Linked DNA regions of Struthio camelus. The protein of the gene in region 1 binds, or shares a complex with, the protein of each later gene. Links are inferred from orthologs where the notes say so. Each region holds a gene or a part of one and is shown in the gene's direction. Other genes may lie near its edges.

The links. The genes of interacting proteins can lie anywhere in the genome.
Region 2: CYFIP1 (region 1) and WASF2 share a complex: the UniProt entries of both Homo sapiens proteins name them as parts of the WAVE2 complex. The link is inferred for Struthio camelus from reciprocal best matches to the Homo sapiens genes CYFIP1 and WASF2.
Region 3: CYFIP1 (region 1) and ABI1 share a complex: the UniProt entries of both Homo sapiens proteins name them as parts of the WAVE2 complex. The link is inferred for Struthio camelus from reciprocal best matches to the Homo sapiens genes CYFIP1 and ABI1.

Annotation. Positions count from the first base shown.
Region 1 is NC_090942.1:148,825,269-148,832,959, forward strand, and holds the start of CYFIP1 (cytoplasmic FMR1-interacting protein 1), read left to right. Parts: upstream 1-4,682; 5' UTR 4,683-4,697; coding exon 4,698-4,726; intron 4,727-4,966; exon of another isoform or gene 4,967-5,178; intron 5,179-5,420; exon of another isoform or gene 5,421-5,498; coding exon of another isoform or gene 5,499-5,512; intron 5,513-6,817; exon of another isoform or gene 6,818-6,959; intron 6,960-7,691. UniProt on the Homo sapiens protein: Component of the CYFIP1-EIF4E-FMR1 complex which binds to the mRNA cap and mediates translational repression. In the CYFIP1-EIF4E-FMR1 complex this subunit is an adapter between EIF4E and FMR1.
Region 2 is NC_090964.1:6,577,145-6,584,858, forward strand, and holds the start of WASF2 (actin-binding protein WASF2), read left to right. Parts: upstream 1-4,709; 5' UTR 4,710-4,845; intron 4,846-7,714. UniProt on the Homo sapiens protein: Downstream effector molecule involved in the transmission of signals from tyrosine kinase receptors and small GTPases to the actin cytoskeleton. Promotes formation of actin filaments. Part of the WAVE complex that regulates lamellipodia formation.
Region 3 is NC_090943.1:19,262,226-19,269,786, forward strand, and holds the start of ABI1 (abl interactor 1), read left to right. Parts: upstream 1-4,556; 5' UTR 4,557-4,688; coding exon 4,689-4,805; intron 4,806-5,496; exon of another isoform or gene 5,497-5,789; intron 5,790-7,561. UniProt on the Homo sapiens protein: May act in negative regulation of cell growth and transformation by interacting with nonreceptor tyrosine kinases ABL1 and/or ABL2. May play a role in regulation of EGF-induced Erk pathway activation. Involved in cytoskeletal reorganization and EGFR signaling.

The DNA of each region.
Region 1 (7,691 bases):
AGTTGTTGATTTTATGTTTTCCTTAGTAGCATAGAGTAAAGCTAGCAGCTCCAAATTGCCGGCTGATTAAAAATAAATAAATAAAAAATCCTTCCCCCCAGCTGCTTTTCAATCTTAAAAGACCCTAGAGATTTACAAGTGTTCCAGCTTTCCTCTTATACTCTTTGGTACACTTCAAAAACAAAGCCAACAAAAACACCACCACCAACAACAAAAAAACAAAAAACCCTTCCCTTATTGATAAATTCTCATTTACTGGATTGTGCAGTGGCTCATTGCTGCACTGCATTTATTGCTGGAAAAGCTGTACAAAACCACTGGTCATGGCGCTAGATATCTAATGAAATTAATAGATTAGAGAGGTAGGGCTGGGGTCGAGATAAGAGTAATGGCAGGGAGGGATGTGAATCCAGATGAGGCCAAGTGAGGGATTACATTTCGGCTGCTGCTTGGATGTTAGAACATGTGACCCTGAAACAGCAATAAAAATATTTGTGCATTAAAGCTAATAAGGGTGATAAAAGATGTATGTATTGATGCTACTTCCTGACAATGCATTGCTGGAGGGATGTAACTGTTTGGGGCAAGGCGGGCTATATCTTGCAATGCTAAATCCCTAATAGGGTGCTGTCTGCCTTGATAATGGCTTGTAGAGGATAGAAATTTAAAGAATGCTTTTAAAGACTGTACTGAACTCTGATGCAGTTGTAATGATGAGCTGCGTAACAAACATGCCATAGTCTTCTGTGCGGATTTCTTGCATGATCAAAATGCATATAATTTCTGATAGGGTCAAGGAGGGATTTGTACTCATTCATGCCTGTCAGGGAGTTGGGTGAGTGGGCTCTGGTGTGGTTGGCAGCTCAGCATGCAGGTTATTGGAAAGTGGAGCAGCGGGACATGGGCTCATTGTACAGACAGAGAGAGTTAAAGCCTTCAGAGTTGGCAGGGGGCAACAGAAGGTATTGAACAAAAGGATGGCATATGTTCTAGCATTGGAAAGCAGAACCAGGAAACTTATATCCGTTTGAAATGATGGCATGCAGCACTAGGAAGGAAATCAAAAGATAGCTGCACATCTCATCATGCACTGATGGGTGTTTACAAATGTGCAACATGCTTGCTATTGGCAGCTGTGCTACTGGTGACCTACGTGCTCTCAGGGTCAGAAATCTTTTCTTTTTGTGGGGTTAGAGATAGATGTGGGCAACCAGATCACTTTTTATTTGCATAAGGCCTTCTGAAGCAGAAAGCTCTTGGCTGTAGTCTGTTGTTGGAAGGAGTTACTAGTATTTGTCATAAGCTGGCTAGGCTTCCTGCCATGGGCAGGTTTTCACTTTCTGAGCTGTCTGCTCATTGAGACCTCTTTTAGACAGTTGCTGCTTGCTACTTGGTCTCTTCTGCTTAAACTCTCCACAACCTGTGCCCTGTACACATGTGTTTATCTCTTCTTGAGAGCTGCAACAAGTTTTCTTATAGGTAGTGTGGGAACGTGTAATGTTTTTGTGGTCTTGCTGTGCTTTAAACCATTGGCCGCGTCTGATACAAAATGAAGTCTGTGCTGACATCTTCAGCCAAAATCCTGTCCAGCCCTTCACAGCATGGACAGGTGACTGACACGTTGCCAGAGGTATGGCTTTTGTTTTTAACTAATTTATAGTTTTAACTATTTTCTTTGTTTGCAGCACTGCATGGTTTACAATTCTTGGGCTCACTGCAGCCCTAGCTGATCATGGCTTCATGAATGCCTTTCTGTACTGGATCATGGCAGTTTTACCTCCTGTGGTGTTTTACCTCCTTTATGAGGATGAGAAGATCTCTGTTGAATTAACAGGTAAAGTATCGATAAGCTTCATCACTAAAATATCTGAGTGGAAAGATGCGAAACCGAGACAGTACATAAGCATTTTACACATAGCAAACAGCTAGTGGCAGGGCCTTAAGATTCCTGTGGAAGCTCTTCTTTCATAGACTTTGCTAAATACTGTAAAGTGCAAATAAAGAAATCAAAATGGAATCGAAATAACTGGAATTCGGGAAACAGTCTTGTGGGTGTCTGTATCTACCGTAGATACCCCTGAACAGAGGCAGAGAATTGGATCAAGCTTGATACCACCGTATCATATGATATTCATCTGGTTTAGGTGTAGGGTACACAAATTGTCAACAGCATGATACGTTAGTGCTGTAGATCTCACTATAGATAACTGACAGGTATGGGCTCAAATACCAGGTTGAAATAAATATTTTACCACCCAGAAAGGGCTGTTGAGTTTCTAATTCTAGCTGTTGGCTTCATGAAAACGACAGCCATCTTCCAGTGGATAAAGGGTCAGTTAATGGCTTGGTCAGGATGTATAGAAACTTACATCTTTAACTAGGCGCGGAAGAGGTTCACATTCAATTAAGCAAGAGTGTGATTAAGAGCATTCAAAGTCAGGCCCAGAAGAAGGAAAATGTAACGGCAGAAATGGGTCATGGAGATCTCTATATCTTAGCTCCTTTAATCCAGTACTGTCATCCCATTATTTAAATTGCACAAAAGTGGAGTGAGCAGGGAGTTGTGGGGCATTTCAGAATTGAATCTGGCAGCTGAAATGCTGTGAAGACTCTTTCCAAATTAATTCTGAAAAGCATACCTTGCTGTTACGAGAGAACATACACATCCAGTTCTTGTAATGTGATTGTCCTCTAATCCCGATACCAAACAACCGAAAAGCAACACAAGTCTTGACTAGCTGCTTAATTACCATCAGTATTTTTAATCTGACCTTATGGGTAGCTATAAATTTTGAGTACAGGATTGTCCGAAAGGGTAGATTGCCCCAGTAGAGGGCAGTAGCTCCTACACCCACTCTGTTTCTTTAGCAGGAACATGGCAAGACCCTGAAGCATCGGGCGGTTGTACGAGAAGTTGTTATTGTTAGGGCAGTATGGTGCTGCTTGGCAGGGTCTGGCTTTTGTGCGAAGCAGCACTCCTGGCACCAGATGACTTTTTGTAAGCACGGAAGCTCCAGTGGCAGTCTTGCACAGGAGCACTAAGGAGAAACGCTGGTGGGGCCAAGCTGCTGCTGTTCAGATTTTCTGGCTCTGATTGGAGCAGCTCCTTGATTGGGCCTTGCAGAAATTTGGTGTGCTTCCAGCCTCCCTTGGGGCTCTGTTGTGGCTTGATAACTAAGGCCTTGCTGCTGATCTAGGCCAAGTGGTTGCATTAAGACAAGGCTGTTGTGAGTTTGCACTAATCCAGGACTAGCAAACATGCACGATCCTGTCTTACGAAGGCGAGTTAGTCTTCATGAGTTACTCTTCACTTTAGTAACTTGATTGCCCCAAGCGCTGTTTGTGGAAGAGAGCGTAAGAGGGATTGCACCTGGACAGTGTCAGCTGTCATTTTAGAAAGCTGAAGAATCCCGTTGTGGTAGCCTTTCCTAGTTTTCGCTTGACCTGGATTTAGAGGCTTGGATGATAAGGAACTGTGATAGATGGAATTTATTCATTTGATATATGTACTCAAAATATACTATTGTATGTGCACAAGCAGTCAGAGAAGAATAAGCAGCGACATCCTAGAAGAGAAACTGTTTCATATACCAATGGACAATATTGCAGCACTGGAAAAAATATGACTGTGAAGGTAAGTCTGCAATACGATGAAATAGTAACAACAACAACCTTTTGAAATGGTGTATAATTTCTCCCCAAGATGCTGAAATTCTTGATGGTGTGGAATGGATAGAATAGATGGATAAAACAGTACTTGAAGTCATGAGGATTAGTGTGTTTAGCAACTTATCTCCACTTCCCAAAGGCTTTCTTGTAGGTGCTTGTACAAAAAGGCTATTTAAGGAAACTTAAAACAGTGGAAATTTGAAAAAAACAAAGATCAAGGAAAGGAATAATTATTCTGTTCTCAGCACAAAAAGCATTAACAGCACAGTATCTCACCAGCAGCTCTTGAAAACAGAGATGAGAAAATCGCTTGCTGCAGCAAAACTGTGCAGGTTGCTAATGAGTAAGGGAGGATTTTCAAAAGCAGATAAAATGTGGGATGCAACTTGAAGTAGTGAAATACAAGAAAAGGGGCTTTGAGGAGATTTCCAAACAATTCTGTTTGTTCTATGTTCGGAACTGACTGTAATCCCTAGATATAGTAGAGAGGTGTGTTCTGTCTGCTGTAGGATAGTGGACAGAAAGACCAGTTTTGGTGACCAACTTGGGAAGAAATTTCTTTTTGTGGTACAGTGTCAAGTAGATGAATCTTAAAATTGGAGAAATAGGACAAAAACAGAGTGTGAAATGAAAACGTGCAACAGCTAAGTACTTTCTAAAGTAGACAAGCATATACACGCTACTGTTTTACAGAACAATGACATTTGGAGGTGGTTGAGAGCAAAACTGGCCTTTTTGCTTTTCTGCTTTCAGTTTCAATTAACAGTGGCATTCCAGGTAGGAGCAAGGCCCACGCGAGCACCACCTAGAGGTAGTATTTCCAAGGGTTTTCTCTTGAAACCCTTGTGGTTAAGACTAGCCTCGGATCCTTGATGCGGGGGCTCGTTCCCTCCCGTCAAGTGAGGAAAATGTCGCCGCGGCCCGCGACTTTCACGCTCGGCGGCGTCATGTCCCGGGCGTCCCTGTGGCGCCCCGCACCGTGCTGAACGGCCGCGGGCCGGCCGGGCGCAGCTTGGTCCCTCTGCGGAATGAGCCTCTCTGGGGCTGACGCGCAGCTGTGAGAGAGTCGTGCTCTGCTTGTGTCTGTATGGGTAGCTAACGTCTAAGGCTGCTTGCCTTATGTTGGGGGGTGGGGGGGGGGGAGAGCAGTCGCTCCTCGGCGGCCGCGGAGCCCCGGCAGCCGCCCGGCACCTGCAGCGCTGCGCGGGGAGGCGGCGGGAGGCGGGGCCCGGCCCGGGCGGGGAGGGAGCGGGGGGCGGCAGGTTTGGGATGGGGCGGCGGGAGGAGGAGCTGGAGCGGCAGGAAGGGTGTTTCCCTGCGTAGTTCCCAGCCGAAGTGACTCAGACAGGAAACTGCCAGCCAGGCGCGGCCGGGGGAGAGGAGCCGCCGGGCCGACGCGAGCCCCGGCGGCGGCGAGCCGAGCCGAGCCGAGCCCCCCCCCCCCACCCCCCTCCTCCAGCCCTCCGCCCCCGGCGGCGGGCGACCCTCGCGGGAGCCGCCGGCCAGCGGGTGAGCGGCGCTTGCCCGGCTCGGCGCGACGCGGGGGCTGCGGGGCGGGGGGGGGGGGGTCAGGCCTCCGCGGCTTGGGGCGCCGCTTCGCCTCCCGCCTCGCCCTGCGCCGTTCTCGGCGGCCGCGGGGCTCAGGCCGCGGCGCCCCGGGGGGCTGCGCGGGCCGGGCCGGGTTGGGTTGGGCCGCCCTGCCCTGCCCTGTGCCGGCCGCCAGCGCCGGGCGCCCGCGGGGCGGCAGGCGGGGGGTGGGCTCTGCGTGGAGCCGCCTCGGTGTTGTTGCCTGCCCGCGCCTGTCCGCAGAAACGTTTGGTTTTCTCCGGATGCTGAAATTTAAGTCAGTTCGTGCCGCAGGCTGCGTTGCGCGGTGCGCTTGTCTACGCGCGCGCGTGTGTGTAAATACATACATATATACGCGCAGCCCGAGCGAGGCCCGTCAGGTGCGGGCAAGCTGGGGCAGGTAGCTGGTGGCAGGGCGCGGGGGAGAAGATGCGGTGCCCTGCCGGGTAACTGCCAGCCTGCGGCGGGCGGGCGGGCGGGCGGGCTGCCGCTTCTGGGGTAGGCCAGAAAGCGTATGAATCCTCCCAGGTGATTAATTGGAGAGCGGTTTTAAGTGTGTCGCTTATGGGGGGAGGGGGGGTTTCGTTGTCCCCTCTCGCATGGAGTCCGTGTGTCTGTTTGCGGTGCTGGGATAGTTAGAGCTTTGCTTCCGATGCTGTCCGGTGTTGGGGAGCAGATGAGGTGGGAAATAGTAAGTCAGAAACGGCGTGCAAATCCATCCCCTCTTTCAGTTGAAAGAGATGATTGAGCATCTGTCTGAATTCCCAGAGTAGGATTTTGAGGAACTTGAGTTTTCTCTAATCAAGATAATTACGTTGTAGTGAGAGTTGCAGCGTCTGTTCATAATTCCCTACTAGGCATCGTGGTAACCGTGCACCTTCTGTATATGTCTACGATGTGCGAACGGATTCATGCCGAAATGGATTTCATATACTTCTCTAGTTCATCAGGAAGTCTGTTAATAGTTTTTACCTTTCTAGTTCTCATTGCCTTATTTTTTCTTCCTGTACCATCTGATGATAGGTGTGAGTAGTGTTTAGACATGCAAATTGTTATTTGTGTCAGGAAGACAGACTATATGGAGGAGGTAGTCTTTGAGGAATGTAGTGAATCAACCTGAAGTGGTTGCTGAAGCGCATACATTGGAGGGGAGAGGAAAGTTGTCCAGAAGAATTTCTCTTTAATTAGAAGGTCAGACAACACTTTACCATAAACTGCGGGAGATGTAAAGTTTAGACTCTCTAGTAAGCATCCCTAGTCCTTATTGCATTTCACTTACTTATTTGCCAAAGCTTTATTACAGCAAATTTACTGAAAACTCATGCGTTTAGTGTCATTGGTTAATGTATTTTTTTAGATGGGAACTTCTAATAATACCATGACGTACTTTCTTGATCTTTGTTTTATATTGGTATTAATTGCATGTTTACAAACTGTTTTATGCTCAGGCGGAGAATCTCTGAGCTCTGTGCTTGAACTTGTGTTCTTAGTCCTCACAGCGGTTGTTCTGTCTGGTTCTTGGATTTATCCAACTCCTACTTCTGCGCTTTTTAAAACTGCTTTTGTTTTTTTTTTAACACAGAGTTCCTCCTGACCTAATCTAAAAGGCTCTTTCAGCATTCGCAATTAACTTGCCTGTGAACTTTAGCTGGAATAGGCAGCCGTTATTTCCTTAGCTGCCAGGAAGGAGGAGGTATTTGGAACCAGCCTTTGGAAAACTTGGGGTACAGTATGAAACAGTAATGTTTCTTTGCAAAAGCAACTTGCTTGAATTTTTTTTTCTGTCAGGACAATGATGTGGTTGATAGAATACCTCAGTTGTATTTTGTGGTTTCCAGGTTGTTACGCCTAGATTATTGTTATTCTTATTTAGAAGGAAGAAAAAGCCTGGAGTCTTAAGAAAAACAAACAGACAAGGATCCTGTGCTGAAGATGAGTAAGACCTTGTGCATTTTGTTCGCTGACCTTGGGTCTGGTGAATTCCTGCTGAGGGTTATGATCACGAGAGAGAATAGAGAAGTAGTGTTTGAAATGCGTGGAGCAGAGTTAATGTAAAATTTCTGGGGTTTAAATATTGCAATATCTCCTAAGTGGATACTGCTACATAAATTGCAAAAAAATCTACGTTAAAAGAAAGTGAATGTTCCACAAACAGTCCATACTTTTCATTTCTTAACTCTTTGACTGACTTTAAAAAAACTTGTAGTTCTTTAGGGTACTTATGTATGTTTTGTTATGAACACCTTTGATTTTTTTTTTTTTTCCTTCAGTTTTCTCAGGGTGGAAATGTTCCCCCTGGCTTGAACCCACAAACTTTCTTGACCCACTATACAGTCCTTAAAATATAAGTAAAGAACGAGCAGATACCTATTCCAGCTGTGTGTTTTATATTGGAAGTTTGTCTGATATCCACCTTAGTTTAATGAATGCTTTGTTTATTCCTTCTGAGAGAGAGA
Region 2 (7,714 bases), on another chromosome or scaffold:
AGCAGGTAATGGGCATCTTTCCCATGTTAATTTGAAAACAGAATCCATGAGAGCAGGACACCGGGGAACGGAGCACGTCGCGGCTCCCCCGGCGGCGCCCCCCGGCGCGCTGCGGACCCCTCTGCTTTTCCTCGCCCGCCGCCGGCGGGTTTCGCAGGTGGTCGCCGTCAAGCGGAGGAGGATTTGGGCTTGGCGAGGGGGGCGCACGGTAACCTCGGGCGAGCCGGGCCACGAGTCCCGCTCGGCTGCGGATTGTGCTGAACCTGCAGCTCGGGGAAGGGGGGAGCGGGCACGGCGGCGGCGGCGGGGGGGGGGACGGCCCCGGGCACGGCCCGCCGCGGCCGACTGCTGCCCGCGATGCCGCGGCCGGAGCCCTGGGTGGCTGCTGCAGCGATAAAATCCCGGGGCCTTGTTTTATCCCAGCGAGGACGTGTCGAGCCGAGTCGCTCTCCCTCCTCCCCTCGCCGCCGTCTGAACTTGCCCCCGAATCACCCACCGGGGCTCCGTCCTTCGCTAACAAGGACTCGTACCTTTTATCCCCCGGCTCCGGGAGGGGAAGAGGATGGAGGGGAGAGGCAAGGATTTCTCCCGTGGGCGAGCCTCCCCCTTCCCGGGGGGCGGCAGCGGCGGGGGGGGGGGGGGGGAGGCTGGGTGGCGTTGGAGTTTCGTTTGCCGAGATACCATTAACGAGTGAGCAAAGGTTGCGGTGTCTCCATGGAGACAAGACAGCAAGCGAGACGGAGAGTGTGTGCATCTAAGGTTAGAGCTGATTAGTAAATGTCAGCAGCACAGCGACTGCCCCGCGCGCCGCTGGCTCGGGGCCCCGGCGGGCACCGCGCGCCCCCGGCCCCGCTCGGAGCATCCTCGCAGCCGCGGTGCCGGCGGCCGGACCCGCCGCGGTCCCCGACGCCGGGCGTTCCCGCGCCCTGCCGCCGCGGCCATACGGCCGTGAGCCCCTTCTCGGTTGTTTTCCGAGCTGCTCGCGGAGCCGGAGGGCGTGGAAGGGGCACCAAGGCTCCCGGCACCCTCCTGGCGGGTGTCCCGGGAGAGCCGCTCGGCCGACCTCCCGGGCGAGGACGGGGCCGCCACGGGAGGCAAAGCCACCCCGCGTCCTTGTCGCGGAGCCGCTCGCGGCCGGGCCGGCGGCTCGGCAGGCTGAAGGCGCGGAGCTGGCTTCGAGCAAGGCTGGGCGAGATACGCCGCGGCCGTCCCGTCGAGGATCTCCGCTCGCCCCCCTCCGTGGGTCGCGGGGAGGAAGGATGAGGCCGGGCCTGGCAGGCATCGCTTAGTTTTAGGAAGGAGCAAGGCCTGGGTTAAGGAAAAAGGTGGGGTGGGATGAAGCAGCAATTTGCGGCAGGGCCTTTCTAGGGTTATCGGGGCTTCAGTCGCAGCCTGCGCCCGCTCGGGAGGGAAGCGAGAGCCGCAGCACGCCGGCTCCGGCCCCTTCCCTCGCCTCGGCCCTCGCGCGGGCGCATCAGCATTTTACGCTCAGCAAAATGCAGGGAGGCACCTGGCAGGCGAGAGCATGCCTCTTGCAGAGAAACAAGTGTCAGGGGGTAGCGCGGGGGGGCTGGATACTGCAATTTAGCAGGTATTATTCGGCAGCTATAAACAGAGCCTCTCACACAGACGGGGAGAGATAAAGGTTGCAGTGCAGATACAGATTAGGTGGTTCCCTTGAGGCTGTGACACCTTGAGATAGAAGCAGATCTTCAAGGGAACGGCTTGCTGGCAGCCTGGAAAACCTGGAGCCGAGCGGCCTCCAGCGCCGCCGTGCTAGAGCCGGCTCCCGCGTCCCTGCCCTGGCGCCGCGGCGGCAGCTTTCCCCCAGTATGCGGGGGGGGGACGGGGCGGCGCAGGGCGTCCGGCCTTTGCACCGACCGTTGCCGAGGACGCCCTGCAAAGAGATGCATAAGGGAGAAACAGCTATTTTCAATAGTGCACGTGCCCATCTCGACCTCGAGGGCGCCGGAGGCGTGCCAGCACAAGTCGGAGCAACCCCCGGGCTGCTCCAGCCTGGCCGGGAGGCAGCCAGGGCCGTCGCCTTCGCCGGTCGGCGGCTCACGGCGCCGCCGAATCAGGCCGGGGAGCGCGTGGGACCTGTGCTTGGCGTGTGCTTTCCCTGGCCGCCGCAGCAGTTAGCAGCAGCGCTCTTAAATGGATTTGTTTGCTTCCAATGGGGAAGTGACAGAAAAGCCAGTGATTTACTCACTGCAGTTTGTTTTAAAGCACGATCACTTTGAGCTCCGAATAGATAGATGTCTGTGCCTTACGCCATTTATTTTGTTAGTGTCCATTTCTTTTCCTGGCTCCTTTAGGTATAAATGAAGTCAGCAATTATGGTTATAATCAGGCAGTGGGGAAAAAGATTTACCACAAGTGCACAGACAGAGAGGCTGTGGCGAAGGCGTACTGGGTACCGTGTGCTGTTAATTTTTGATCAGGTATTTACTCCTGCAGCTTGGGACAATGGAAATCTTTGTTCTCTTTCCTCCTTCCCCCCTTGAGGATAGCTTTTCCAAGTAGAAGAGGATTATTGGTCTGTAGCAACCTGCACTGCTGTACACCCCATTCCTCATCCCTGCGCAGAGCTGACCCCTGCGATCTCAAGGGGGTTTCTGCGGAGGGTCACTAGCATCACCCTTGCTCTGCCGAGGGCAAAACCGAGGTGAAAAGGAGGGGGATGGATGCACCCAGGGTCACCTAAGCTTGCAGCAGGGCAGAGAGGAGAATCAGGCTTTTCTGAGCCCCGGCATGCTCAGCACGCTGCTTGTCCCACTGCGACCCCCCCATCCTGCAAGACTTCTGCCTTTACCGGGGCCAGTCACACGTGAAAAGCAGAGCAGGGACAAAACGTCCTTGCAGGACCAGGACTTGCAGCGGCGTCTACTCAGCGAGGCCCTCCCGCATCGCTGCCCGTGTCGGGGTTTTAATTTAGAGCGCGTGTCCCCGCCGCGCACACCGTCAGCCCCCTTCGCTAAATCAGGAGGCTCGTTTGTGCTGCGACTCTGCTCCCAGCCGCGTATGGGAGTGTCGGGGCACGGAGAGGAAACGGTGCTGGAGCCAAAGGCAACGTCACTCGACAGCTTCCCGCAGCCGCCGCCCCGGCGCGGCCCCAAATGGCCCATGCAGAGAGGGGCCGCCTGGGCCCGGCACTGGCACCCCGGGGGGCTGGGTACCCCCCCAGGGCTGGGTACCCTCGACAGTGGGTAACCCTGGTGGTGGGTAACCCTGGTAGTAGGTGCCCCCAGCAGTGGGTAACGGTGGTGGTAGGTACCCCTGGCAGGGGGTACCCCTGGTGGTGGGCACCCCTGGCAGTGGGTAACACTGGCGGTGGGTACCCATGGTGTTGGGTAACACCAGTGCCAGGTACCCATGGTGGTAGGTACCCCTGGCAGTGGGTACCCCCGGTGGTGGGCACCCCTGGTGGTAGGTAACACTGGCAGTGAGCACCCCCAGTGGTGGGCACCCCTGGTGGTGGGTAACCTTAGTGGTGGGTACCTCCAGCAGTGGGTAACATTGGTGGTGGGCACCCCTGGTGGTGGGTAACCTTAGTGGTGGGTACCTCCAGCAGTGGGTAACATTGGTGGTGGGTACCCCTGGTGGTGGGTAACCTTAGTGGTGGGTACCTCCAGCAGTGGGTAACATTGGTGGTGGGCACCCCTGGTGGTGGGTAACCTTAGTGGTGGGTACCTCCAGCAGTGGGTAACATTGGTGGTGGGTACCCCTGGTGGTGGGTAACACTGGTGGTGAGTACCCCTGGCGGTGGGTACCCCTGGCAGTGGTTCGTGGCTGACAGGCAGAGGTGGGTGTCTGGGTTTGCACCCCCAGAGCTGGTGACTGCCAGGCTCCTGCCTGGCCCTGTCCCCCTCAGCCCCCTGCCCTGCTCCCTCCTCCCCTCTCCCCAAAGCCCCTCACCCATACCCCATCACTGCCACCCTGTCCCCTAACCGCCACCCTGTCTCCACCCCTACCCCCTAACTGCCACCCTGTCCCCACCCCCTCCCCTAAATGCCACCCCTGTCCCCAGCCCTGTCCCCTAACCACCACCCTGTCCCCACCCCTGACTCCTCACTGCCACCCCTGTCCCCAGCCCTGTCCCCTAACCACCACCCTCTCCCCACCCCTACCCCCTAACCGCCACCCTCTCCCCACCCCTGACTCCTCACTGCCACCCCTGACCCCCAACTGCCACCCTATCCCACCGCCGCCCCCTCACCCCCACCCCTGCCCCTCTTCCCCCCCCCCCCCGGCGGCCGCGCCGCCCTGGCGTGACACCCCCGCTCCCCCAGGTGGAACTTTCCTTGCGGGGCGTCAGACCATAGAGGCGAAAGGCAGCACCAAGGTGCAGCACTTGGGGGGGGACTCCGGAAAGGAAAGAGACCCTTTTCCTCCAGGCTAACCTAGAAGAAAACCGTGCTCTGGCACCCACAGTCCCAGATGTATATTTTGAAATTCTGTCGCTTTGCGTGACGTCGGGATTCTCCCCGCTTCCCTGGAAATGTTTCTCTCCTTGTCATCCAAGGATCCCCTCTTTAATCCCCTGGATGGTACTTTCCTCCCTGTTTACTCACTTTGCGCGGCCCGCTTGGGTGGGGTTCTTTTGCTGCTCCGATTTCGTACGCAAGTGGCGTAGGACGGCTTTGATAGACGGCAGCGCTCAGCCAATGGCAGGGCAGTAGCCTTGGCCAGCGAGCCAACGGTGTAGCGGACCGGCGGCCGGGAGGAGGCGGGGCAAAGTTTAGTCAGGGTAGGGAGGGGGAGCCGTGGAATGGCGGACGGCCGGGCTGGCCCGCCCTGGTGGTAGCGAGCCGAGGGGGCCGCAGAAGACAGCCTCGGAGTGGGGTGAGTGCGAGAGGGGGTAGCGGCGACCCCCCGGCCCCCCCCGGCCGCCTCTTCCCCGGGGAAAGAGGCGGAGGCGCTGGGGTGGGCCGTTAGGCCCTTGCCAAATAGTGAGCTCTCGGGGTGAGCCGGGCCCTGTTTCCTGCTACATAGTGAGCCCCCTGCCCTGTGTGGGCTCTGGTGCCCCCGGTCTTGGGGGGGGGTCTGGCCCCGGCCTGGGGCGGGGGGAGGAAGGGGGAAGGGAATGGCCTTATCCCAGGCTGACACTTGCCCTGCCCCTCCCAGGGGCCGTGGCTCAGTGCTGGGCTGCGTGGCCTGGGCTGGGGCTGCCCTGCCTGGGGGGCTGAGGGGGAGGGGGCTGCCCTGCCCGGGGGGTGCCAGTGCCCTGGGCTGGGTTAGGGGAAGGCTGGGTGCTGAGCTCTTAGTGGTGTCAGCCCCTGTCCTGGGGTTGTTACTGAGGTCTAGCTTAGCTGGGAATAACTTGAGGGGCCTGGGGAGGAGGAGAGGTTGCTGGGGTGCTCCCTAAAGGAGAAGAAGTGCTGCTTTGCTGGGGGTGGCGGGGGTCCTTCCCTTACCAGGCTGGTCGCAGCCTTTGCTCTCAGGCCTTGACATTAGTTCATCGAAATGGTGCTTGCGCAAATGCGTGCGTGTCTCTTACTTGTGTAGAAAGTTTATCCGTGCGAGTGGCTGACTGCCCTTGTTGGTGCAAGTTCTGGTGACTGCCCTCATGGAGGGTTGCTGTGAAAATGCTTTCTCCCTGCTGGCTGTCCTCCTGCCCCAGAAGTGGGTGCATCCTTCAGTATGTGTGGGTACACCTTATGGATGTGTGTAAGCCCCTCAACTAGCAGCTAACCATGCAGCCATGTAAAATGTCAAACTACTTGAGGTAGGACTGTGTGGGTGCATATGTTGGAAATATCTTCCCTAGTGTTAAATCCCTGGGCACTATCTGAAAAGAAGCTTTAAAGGGTGTAACGGCATATGGTTGGGTAATTTGGTCAAATGTGCTGACCTACCAGTGACCTCAGATCATATTTCTTTCAGAGAAGAAATAAGTTGCCAGGCAATGTCCTCAGGGTTGTACCTCACTAGCATTTGGGTTTATATTGGAGCTACTCCTTTGGGATACAAATAGCGTATGTCCTTTGGAGAAAGGCAAGATGTTGCAGCTCCTCCCTGTTAGCTATTGTTTGACCTTAAAGACCTTCCTCTGGTAGGAGTTTTTTTCTGCTGAAAGTTTCACATTTGGCCTTACTGATTTACTTCCATTAGTAGCAGCAGACTTGGGAGCCCTCACGTAGATGGACCTGCTAGCGGGACTATATGGCGTGTGAACGCCAAGTATTGGCCTGTTCAATAAGACATTAGAAAATGCTGACAGTCTAAGACTCCCAGCATGGCAGATCTTAGTGGATATGAAATAATCTTAATGATGATAAGGAACTTCAGTGAGTACACCTGATACAGACCAGGCTATAATTGCTGCAGACAAGGCCACAAGTTATCAAACCTTTTGTAACTCTCACACTTGTGCATCTTTCCCTCGAACTGGGAAATCTCGTGAGAACGGAAAGATTGAAAGTAAAAGACGTGACAGGCCAGTAGTGTGTGTGTGCGTTTCCCTGTGGCAAAGTTGATGCAAAATGTTACTTTATGGGAAGTATTAAAGTGTGTCTGCTTGATCACATGAGGAAGGGGAATAGTTATGTTTTCTGCTAGTTTTAAAAGCTTGTAGAATTGGTTGCTATAAAATGCTGCTGGAATTAAAATGCTGTGTTGCAACCCTATTCATTAGGAATTCTGACTGGCCTTTTAGTGACCTTGAGTGGATTTTTGTCATAGAAACTAATACTTAGCTAAAACAAACTTAGTTTAAAAACAAACTAAAGCTTACATCTACCAACTGAAAACACAGACAATATGTTGATAGAGTGACTTTGAAAATCCACTTGCACTCGCAGCCAAGGACAAGCTTTATCCAGCGAGTGGGGTGGAGTAGGTCAGGCACTTCACAATTCTGCAGGTTTTTTTTTTTTTAAGGTGTGTACTTGAAATACAGGATTTGAATGAAACAGCTTGACCACAGTCTTTGAGGCCTAATTCAAATCCTTGCACAAGGTGCAGTGGGCAGTATTGCACCTGAGCAGGTTGGTGACAGCAGGGATTGAACCCAGAACCTCTCATTTTGAAAGCATCACATGCTGCTTGACTAAAAGACTCCCTTCAGTTAGGGGCAAAGAGCAGGCCTATCAGCTCCCTATGTAGCCCAGGCGAATCAAGGTGAAGCTTTGCTATATGTAATGGGTGTTGGTTGTAAGAGCATAATTTTCCAAGGGTGAACTGAATGTAAACTCTTTCCCAAAGTGCAGCATGTTTTCACTGCTTTAAAAAAAGAAAGTTGATATTGTTTATTTATCTTGTAACAAGTTCAAGAAGTAAATATCCCAAATTCCATCCTTTTTTTTTTTAAAAAAAAAAAAAAAAAAAACCCTTCTGGTGGCTCATGCCTGTTAGACTCCTTCCTCTTCAAAGCAATGGAAATAAGCCTTTCCAATCTCTCTGCTGCTGATCAGTTTTTCCAAGCTGCTGTACGGTGATGTTAGCAAGAGCCCTGCTTCATTTCACTGTTCTCACAGCCCCAGCCCCACAAAATCAAAGGTGCAGCAATGAAATGAAACAGTCTTCTCTTACCTGATCTTAGGCTATAGGCTTGCCCCCATTTCTCGCTTTAGCTTCTGTCTGGTGTACATTCCTAACAAATCTTTCAAGCTCTGGCTTTGTAAAACTATGCTGGGGGGAGGGGGGGAAATGCAGGCCAAGAGTTTGGGGAAAAGGAAATGCAGTGTGTTTCCAACTACTTTGTTTTGTGCCT
Region 3 (7,561 bases), on another chromosome or scaffold:
ATAAGCATGCAGGAGGGATGAAGAGGAGAGAGTTGTATGAAAAATGAGGTTGAGACAGAAGGCAAATCCTGCAAGTGAAAATATATTAGAGGAGAAAGGTCATGTCAAAATACAGTAGAGCTATTTATTTTTGTGCTGCTCTTATCTTATGCATTCTCAAGGCAGCAATTTTGAATCTTATTATTTCTGTGCTCTCCAGCGGCTTACGCTGCCTAGCAATGTGTGGTTGGCGTGTGCATGCTCTGTCGTGGCAGAGCTCTCCTGCTGCCTAGCAACTGGCAGCGCGAGTGGCAAGGTGTCCCGCCGACGGGGCACCAGACCCCAAGCACGCAGCCTCTGCAGCACCGGGACGCAGCCCTACAGCACGCCAGCTCCAAATATCTCTGCCTTCACAGTGAGGAGGGAGGGAACGTCTCTGGTTGGTACAACTGTAATGAAAAACTTAAAAATATTACTTGAGAAAAGCACATGCAGAGATGCCCAGGAGAGTGCAGAGAGCCCGGCAAATTATCTCCAAGAAGCGGGAACAACCTCATTCATCTCTCCAACACTCAGATACCCTGTGATGATAATTAAAATATCAACACGGTTAATTATTTTAGTTCTTAAGTAAATCTCTGTGTGCTAGATCTAAAGCACAGGAAGGCAAACCAATATAGCTCTGTAGCTTCTTGACCAGTTACTTCTAATATGGAATAAGAAACACCAAAAAAGCCTCTTTTTGTCCCAGAAAAAAAAAAGATTTTGGTAAGTATTCATGTAGGATTGTCCTAGTACAGCTGCACTTGTGTAACTATATCACAGTAATCAATAACAATTTTCTGACAAGAACATGAGGCTTGGCATTTGGCAGTAGAGCTGACATGGCTGATCCGAAGAGGTGCCATGTCCCCTACACTTCCAGCTGTCCCCTCTGATCCCTCATCTCCCTCTCCAGTGCCCTAGTCAAAAACACTTGTGTGGCTAGACAGCTGGATCAAGAACTGATCCAGCCGAGAAACCGTCCAACAAGAAATAAATGGTTATTTTCCAATCAACACTACTGAAGCAAGTACTGTTCCCAAGGGAAAAACAAAGACATACATCAATCTGTGGCCTAGAAAACAGAACAGACAGTTACAGAACTACATAAATTATAGTGCAGGAGAAGTTGCTTTGATGCTACAGCTGGATGCATTTAGAAGACAGCCACATTCTTCTGTGCTAGTCAGGAATGAGCTACGTCCCAGAAGGACAGTATTGCCCCTGGAGACCACCATGCCCACTGAGGGGGAAGTGAAGCTCATATAGGCAGTTGAGACACAGAGTTACACAAGCACACTTTACTCTGAATGAGATCTCGTTCTAATGATTGCTTAGTTGGAGCTTGAAGAGCATCATTACATTTTTTTCTCCACCAGTCCAGGCTCTAGTAAAATGTTTTAGTCTCACTTCTCTTGCACACTTTCATAAATCTTGAGCAAGTTAGTTAACTTTCCATTCTCATCAACAGTTCATTGTCTAGAACTATGGGAAAGTGTGATAATTAAAAAAAACAGCATAAAACAGTTTCTAAAGGACACCATGGTGAACGCAGTTCAGACATACACCAGTGTCTTCAAAAAAGGTCAACTTAGGTCCAAGGGTTTATTGGCTCTGGCTCAGTGCTGGTTTTGCTAGGTTTGGCAAGTTCTTATACAGCTACCTGAATGCGTCTGTGCTTTCAGGTGCATGGGAATTGCTTCGTGTACACACCATACATGTTCATGGAGCCAGCTTGGGTCTAGTGCATCTGAGTCAATACATCCCCTGAGAACCTGAGAGATGAGGAACACACTGTAAAGACACTCAGGTGAACCTCCAGGGAGTCATTTTGAAACCAGGAGGACTAACATGGATCAGGAGCTAATAAGGCCTGCTGATCTGGTTGAGCACATCCACACTATGTTTCCCAGTGCCTCTCATCTAGCCTGGCCTAGCAGCAACATACCTGTGGTTGTATGGCACTGAGTTAAAAAGTTCTGCTGGAGTTGACCTAGCTCGGTGTGGAGCCAGCTGTTGTGTTTCTATACTTGCAGTAGCTCTATCCTCTATGTACTGGTTAAACCCTGGCTGTGCAAGTAAGGCTACAACAAGTGCTGTAGCACATGTCACAAGATGGCGCTCTTTGATGCGGTCTTCCAAGCTCCTCTTGGGCTGCAATCACACTTTAGGAAGAGTTGGCAAGTTTGGGGTTTATGCAAGGCATTTTGGGTTGAGATCCATGGAGGGAAAGGGGCCGTATGAACACCTGAAGCCTCTGCTCTACTGTTTGAGGAGGGTGTATTCACTAAGGGCCACCACTCCCCTACTCAGCTTGCTGTTCTGCCATCTGCTTTTAGGGCTTGTTTGCCCACTGAAGCGAAGCACAATGCATTTAGCAAAATACACATAACTGATTTTTCCAATATTGAAAAAAGTTGATGTTCAAGACCCCAAACATCTGCCAACCCTTCATACAGGGGCAGCAATAGCATTTGAAGAAGAACTACCAACAATTGTGCTGCGTTTGAGGATGTTAACAGCTTCCATGAAGTCAGTCTTTGATCTGTAGGTAATTACAAACTCATCCAAGCCAATGGGTGCGTTAAGCAATTTGCAGCCAGACTGAATAAAGACATGAAATTTGTCTTTGTATTATAGCTGGAAACAAGGAGAAGTCAGTGCCCAAGACAGTTTCTGATCACATTTGCTGTGGGACCCATTAAAGGCTTGTCTATATTTCAGTACTGTTGCATATCAAATTTACTTTATATTAAAATGGCACCTAAAATCCTAAATAAAATGTTTGATTGGAAATTATATGCTGTCCTAAAGAGAATTATCGAAACCACTTTGGAAACAATTTTGTTGAGCTGCCAAACGAATTAACCTGCGGAGCAATGTAGACTCCTCTCTATCCCACAGGAAGTGCTGTAGCAGGTCCTTTCTGCGATGTCCCAGGATGCACTGGAATGCCTTTCTGTGTAGCTGTCTCACCGTTCCCCAGCCAGGTGGTGGTTTTTGTAACTCCAGCTGCAAAGACCTTCCCAGGCCCACACGTCCTTCCCAGGCCCCCTGCCATTCATGCTTGGTTCCAGCGCTCTAGACTGAGATGCTGGACTTTGCTGACCTCTCAGGGAGAGGCAGATATATTTTTCCTTTCTCTTGACTTAGGCAAGCAGGTATGCCAAAGGATCCTGCCCAGAGTGGTTTTCAGTACTACAGACAGAGAAAGGACTCCACTGGACAATGAACATGCAAAATACCATGACTGTGCCGCAATTTAAGGCAATCTGCTCTTACTAGGATGTCTTTGAGGGTGTCATTCCTAAATACGTTGACATTTCTCTGCTATGGGTTTCTCCAGGACAATTACTAAAATGCAAAGGCTGACCCCAGTTGTGTTTGTGAGTGCGTACACAAGGCAAGCAAAGCCAAGGCATGAATAATGGAGCTAGGAAACAGCTCTGTTTGGGCCTGCTACTTACTGGAAGGCAGGCTTGGACTTCTCAGCACATAAGGCACCTGCTGTTATTGGCTTCTTTCTGGTATGAACACGGAAAGAGGATTTGACTTTCAAAAAAATATATGCAAAAAATATTTTACTGAAGAATCACTGGACCCTTATCCATCACATCTTTTCAACAACAATTGGACAAAAGCCTAAACAACGATTAACAACTACGGCAAGAGAGTGCCACAAATAACGTATTCATCCCAGTATAATATTTAAGTTCTTCTTATGATATTAAAAAGATAAATGCTAATTGTTTGTGAATTGTCACTTCTGGGCAGGCCCAGAAAAAAAAAAAATCTACACAGCTTAGATTTGGTGTTTTTCCTACTCCACGGGAGAACCAGCTGGGAACAGACTTCCCCTCGGACTAATTACCTCTAATTGTGACGCTCTTACCACCTTACCAATTTCTGCCACCCTTTGCTGTTATGCTGCTCGAGCCTTGCCCTGCCCCATCTGAGGTGGTCGCTGGCCAGAGCACCAGCGCAGAGCTTCACCCCGCACCCTGTTGCCGCTTCTCCTGGAGAGGTGACCCTCGCCCAGGGCAGCCCTGGTGGGACTGGGTTTTTCTGAGGAGGGACGAAACGAGCAGCAGGAAAAGAGGCGCTGGAGAAGGGCTCGGAGAGCCAGGGGCGGGGGCAGCGCTCGCAGCCCGCGCGTTGCGGTCGGCGATGCGTGTCGTGACCGACCCCCGGGCCCTCGCCCAGGCCCTCCGCCGCCGCGACAGCCTCGTTCAGCTCGGCGAGAGGATGGCGCTGCCCCCTTCCCTCCTCCCTCCCTTCCTGCCCGCCCGCCCCTCATGAGGCCGGCGGCCCCTCTCCCGCCTCCCTCCGCGGAGGCCGCGCCGGGAGGGCAGCGGCGGCCCCCCGAGCACCGCCACCATCCCGCCGCGGCCGCGGGCGGCGGCCATGAGCAGCGCCCGCCTCGCCGCGCAAGCGCCCTACGCGGAGCAGCGGTGCCTACGATTCCCAGCTTCCTTTGCAAAGAGCTTTTTTTTCTTTTTTTTCTTTTTTTTTTTTTTCCTCCTCTCTCCGAGGGGGCAGGATGGGTGGGGAAAGCGAGAGCTCACGAAAGCGAGGCGAGGAGGAATCCCACAATACCAGGCGGGTTGTGAGCTCGGAGCTGCCGCTGTCTCTTTAATGCAGGAGGAAGCGATGCGGAGGGGTGGAAAATGGCAGAGTTGCAGATGTTACTAGAGGAGGAAATCCCTTCTGGCAAGCGGGCTCTGCTCGAGAGCTACCAGAACCTCACTCGGGTCGCCGACTACTGCGAAAACAACTACATCCAGGTGAGGGGCGGCGGGGGCAGCGCCCGTGCGGCGCACCGGGGCGCGGAGGCTGGCGGCAGGGCGGGGAGGCAGGGCGGCTCTCCGGTGCGGGCGGCGGCGCGGAGCCGGGGCCGCGGCCGCCTCTGGGGCACCGCGGCGCCCCGCTGCCCCCGCCGCGGCTCCCTGCCCGCCCCCGCCCCTCCGCCGTTCCCCCGGATTTGCGTTTTCTTTTAACTTTTCTCGCTGAACGACTGGATTTTCCTCTCCCCCGCTCCGAAGGGGGGGGGGTTATTATGTCAGTCCGGCTCAGAGGGTGTGTCTTTTTTTTTCTTTTTTAAATTTATTTATTATGAGTCACATCCCGGAGACCTCCCTGGGCGGGGGGGGGATGGTGGTGGGGCTTGTGAGCCGCGCCGTGTGGCCGGGTCAGAGCCGGTGTCTCAGGTTTCCCCGTCAGCCGTCGCCCCGCGGCGGCGCGGCTCCTTCGGGGCAGCGCGGGGCGCTCGGTGTGGCGGGCGGCGAGGCGGGCCCGCCGCGGCGGTTGGTGGCGGTTGGTGAGGCGGGCAGCGCCGCGCCTCACGTGGAGCGGCGGCGCGCGGCTTTCGCACCTGAGGCGCGGGGGCCGCGGGCGGCGCTGAGGGGCGGCGGGGGGGGGCGGCGGGGCACGGCGCGCGCGCGCGGCTGACATCACGCAGGGCCGTCGCCCGAGGGACCTCGCCGTGGAAATTCTGCTTTTAATCCCGGCCGCGTAATTCTCGCCGAGGCCCCGCGAATCACTGTCTTGGCGTGATGCGCTGCAGGTTTGAATCGTGAAAAGGAGCGGTTTGTGAGAGCAGGAAGCGGCCGGCATACCGGTGCTAACGTGTGAGCGTGATGTGGTATTTCAAAATGGCAATCTGTGCCTCTTGGAGGCTTCCTAGTTCAACCATCCTATGACAGTAATTTTAGACCGGCTCTCTGTTGCTGGAAGAGGCTCCATTGGTTGAAGCTTGTCTACACCAGTCAGTGCGTATTTTTTTTTCCCCTCGTAGCTTGCTGGTGCTTCTTGGCCTTGCTTTAAGTCATTTTTGTGAAGCTACTTTAAGCACACTTTAATTTATTTTATTTTTTGAGGGTTTGGCTTTGCAGCATTTAAGTCGGAATGTAGATCTGTATATGTAGCCATACTGATGTGGATTCAGAGCCACGAAGAGATGCTCAGATTAAACATTCTTTCATTTTTTCTTAAAAAAAAAAAAAAGCAATTAAATTACACTACTTACTAGACAGCTTGTAAAGTTGACTTGTTGAATGTAATACTAGACTACCTGTAATGAGTACTTAATAAGTGTTATTAAAATCTTTGGTGTCCATTGTTGCTAGTACACTTACTATTTTTAATAATGGAGCAGCAAACTTGAAAACCAGGCTATAAGAATCTGTACTGGAATCTGTTTTCTTTTTTTTTTTTTTAATATGAGCTAATGTTGGTATTTAGATTAAAGCTGTACTAACGAGCCGTGTTTTTTAAGACTCTTTTTCTGTGAGGCAATAAGAGTTGATGTGTATTTACTCTTCCGACTTGTTTGCTCCACCCAAATAAAGCTGCTGATATAAATGCTTCTAAGAGGCGAGGTTCATTTAGTTTTACTCATGGGAAATTATGACAAATACATGAGTATGGTAATTACAGCACAAGTTTTGACCCGTCTCCTGACTTTTTCTCCTGTGTTAAAAAGTTGCAGAGTATCTTCGGCTATATGATTTTTTTCAGGGTCCTAAAACTTGCCTTCTCTTTTTCAAGCAAGCAAAAAACATTTAAACTCCTTCTCATCCAGTTGTTTGTCAGGATTTTTTCCCCCCTCTAGCTCATTTTCACCTCAAGTATCAGGGTCAATTGGATATGGAATTGGTACAGTCTGATGGTTTATCTGTGTACAGCTGTGTTTATCCTTTTTGGAAGGAAGCTGAAGTTCTAAAATTCCTAATAAGGATTTAAGCAGCAGCTCTGAAGAATGTATACCTAGCTTGCATGGTGCACAGATCAGACTCAAGTCAGTAAAAATGGCAAATATATCTATAAAACTGATTTTTTTTTGAATGTCTGGTAGAGGGTTTTTTTGGTTTTTTTTTTTTTCTTTTTAATCAGCACTTTGTGCAAAGCCATCTGCTCTCCAGTTGGACTACTGAACAGATTATACTTCCTGTGCCTGTGGTCGTGCCACTGCAGGATTAGGCAATATGACACTGAGAGTCTGGGTTGTGAGGACTGGGAGAGTGTGTGTATGTATGTGTGTGTGTGTGCGCGTGCGTGTGTGGTATGGGAAGGGAAGGGAGGAAAGAGGAAGAGGCTTAACCAACACAAAATGTAAACTGTTTGTGTTTAATATAATTGAGTTAGTAACTAATAGTCAATGCAACAGGGAGCATTTAAAAAGAAGGGGGTAAAAAAAAAAAAAAAAACAGGCCAGAATGGAGAACCTATATGTTAAGTGAGTGCTAAAATAGTTTAGGATTGGCTATGTGTCATAATTTGTCCTATGTAACTGACTCAAACTGTCCTCTTTGAGTTTGGATAGCTTTGAGTCTGGATAGTTTTCTGTCTTTGTATGGGAAAGATTGTGTGCTATTTAGTATAAAATCTATTATTCTGTACTCAGACCTCCTCTGCATGGTGAGGTTGAGATGGAACAAGTTTGATTATTCTGTTTGCTGGTATTAACAATTTACAATAATTATAATAGCACTCATTCACTCAAAACTCTTGATATTATTATTTTTTAATTCTTTGTTTACTT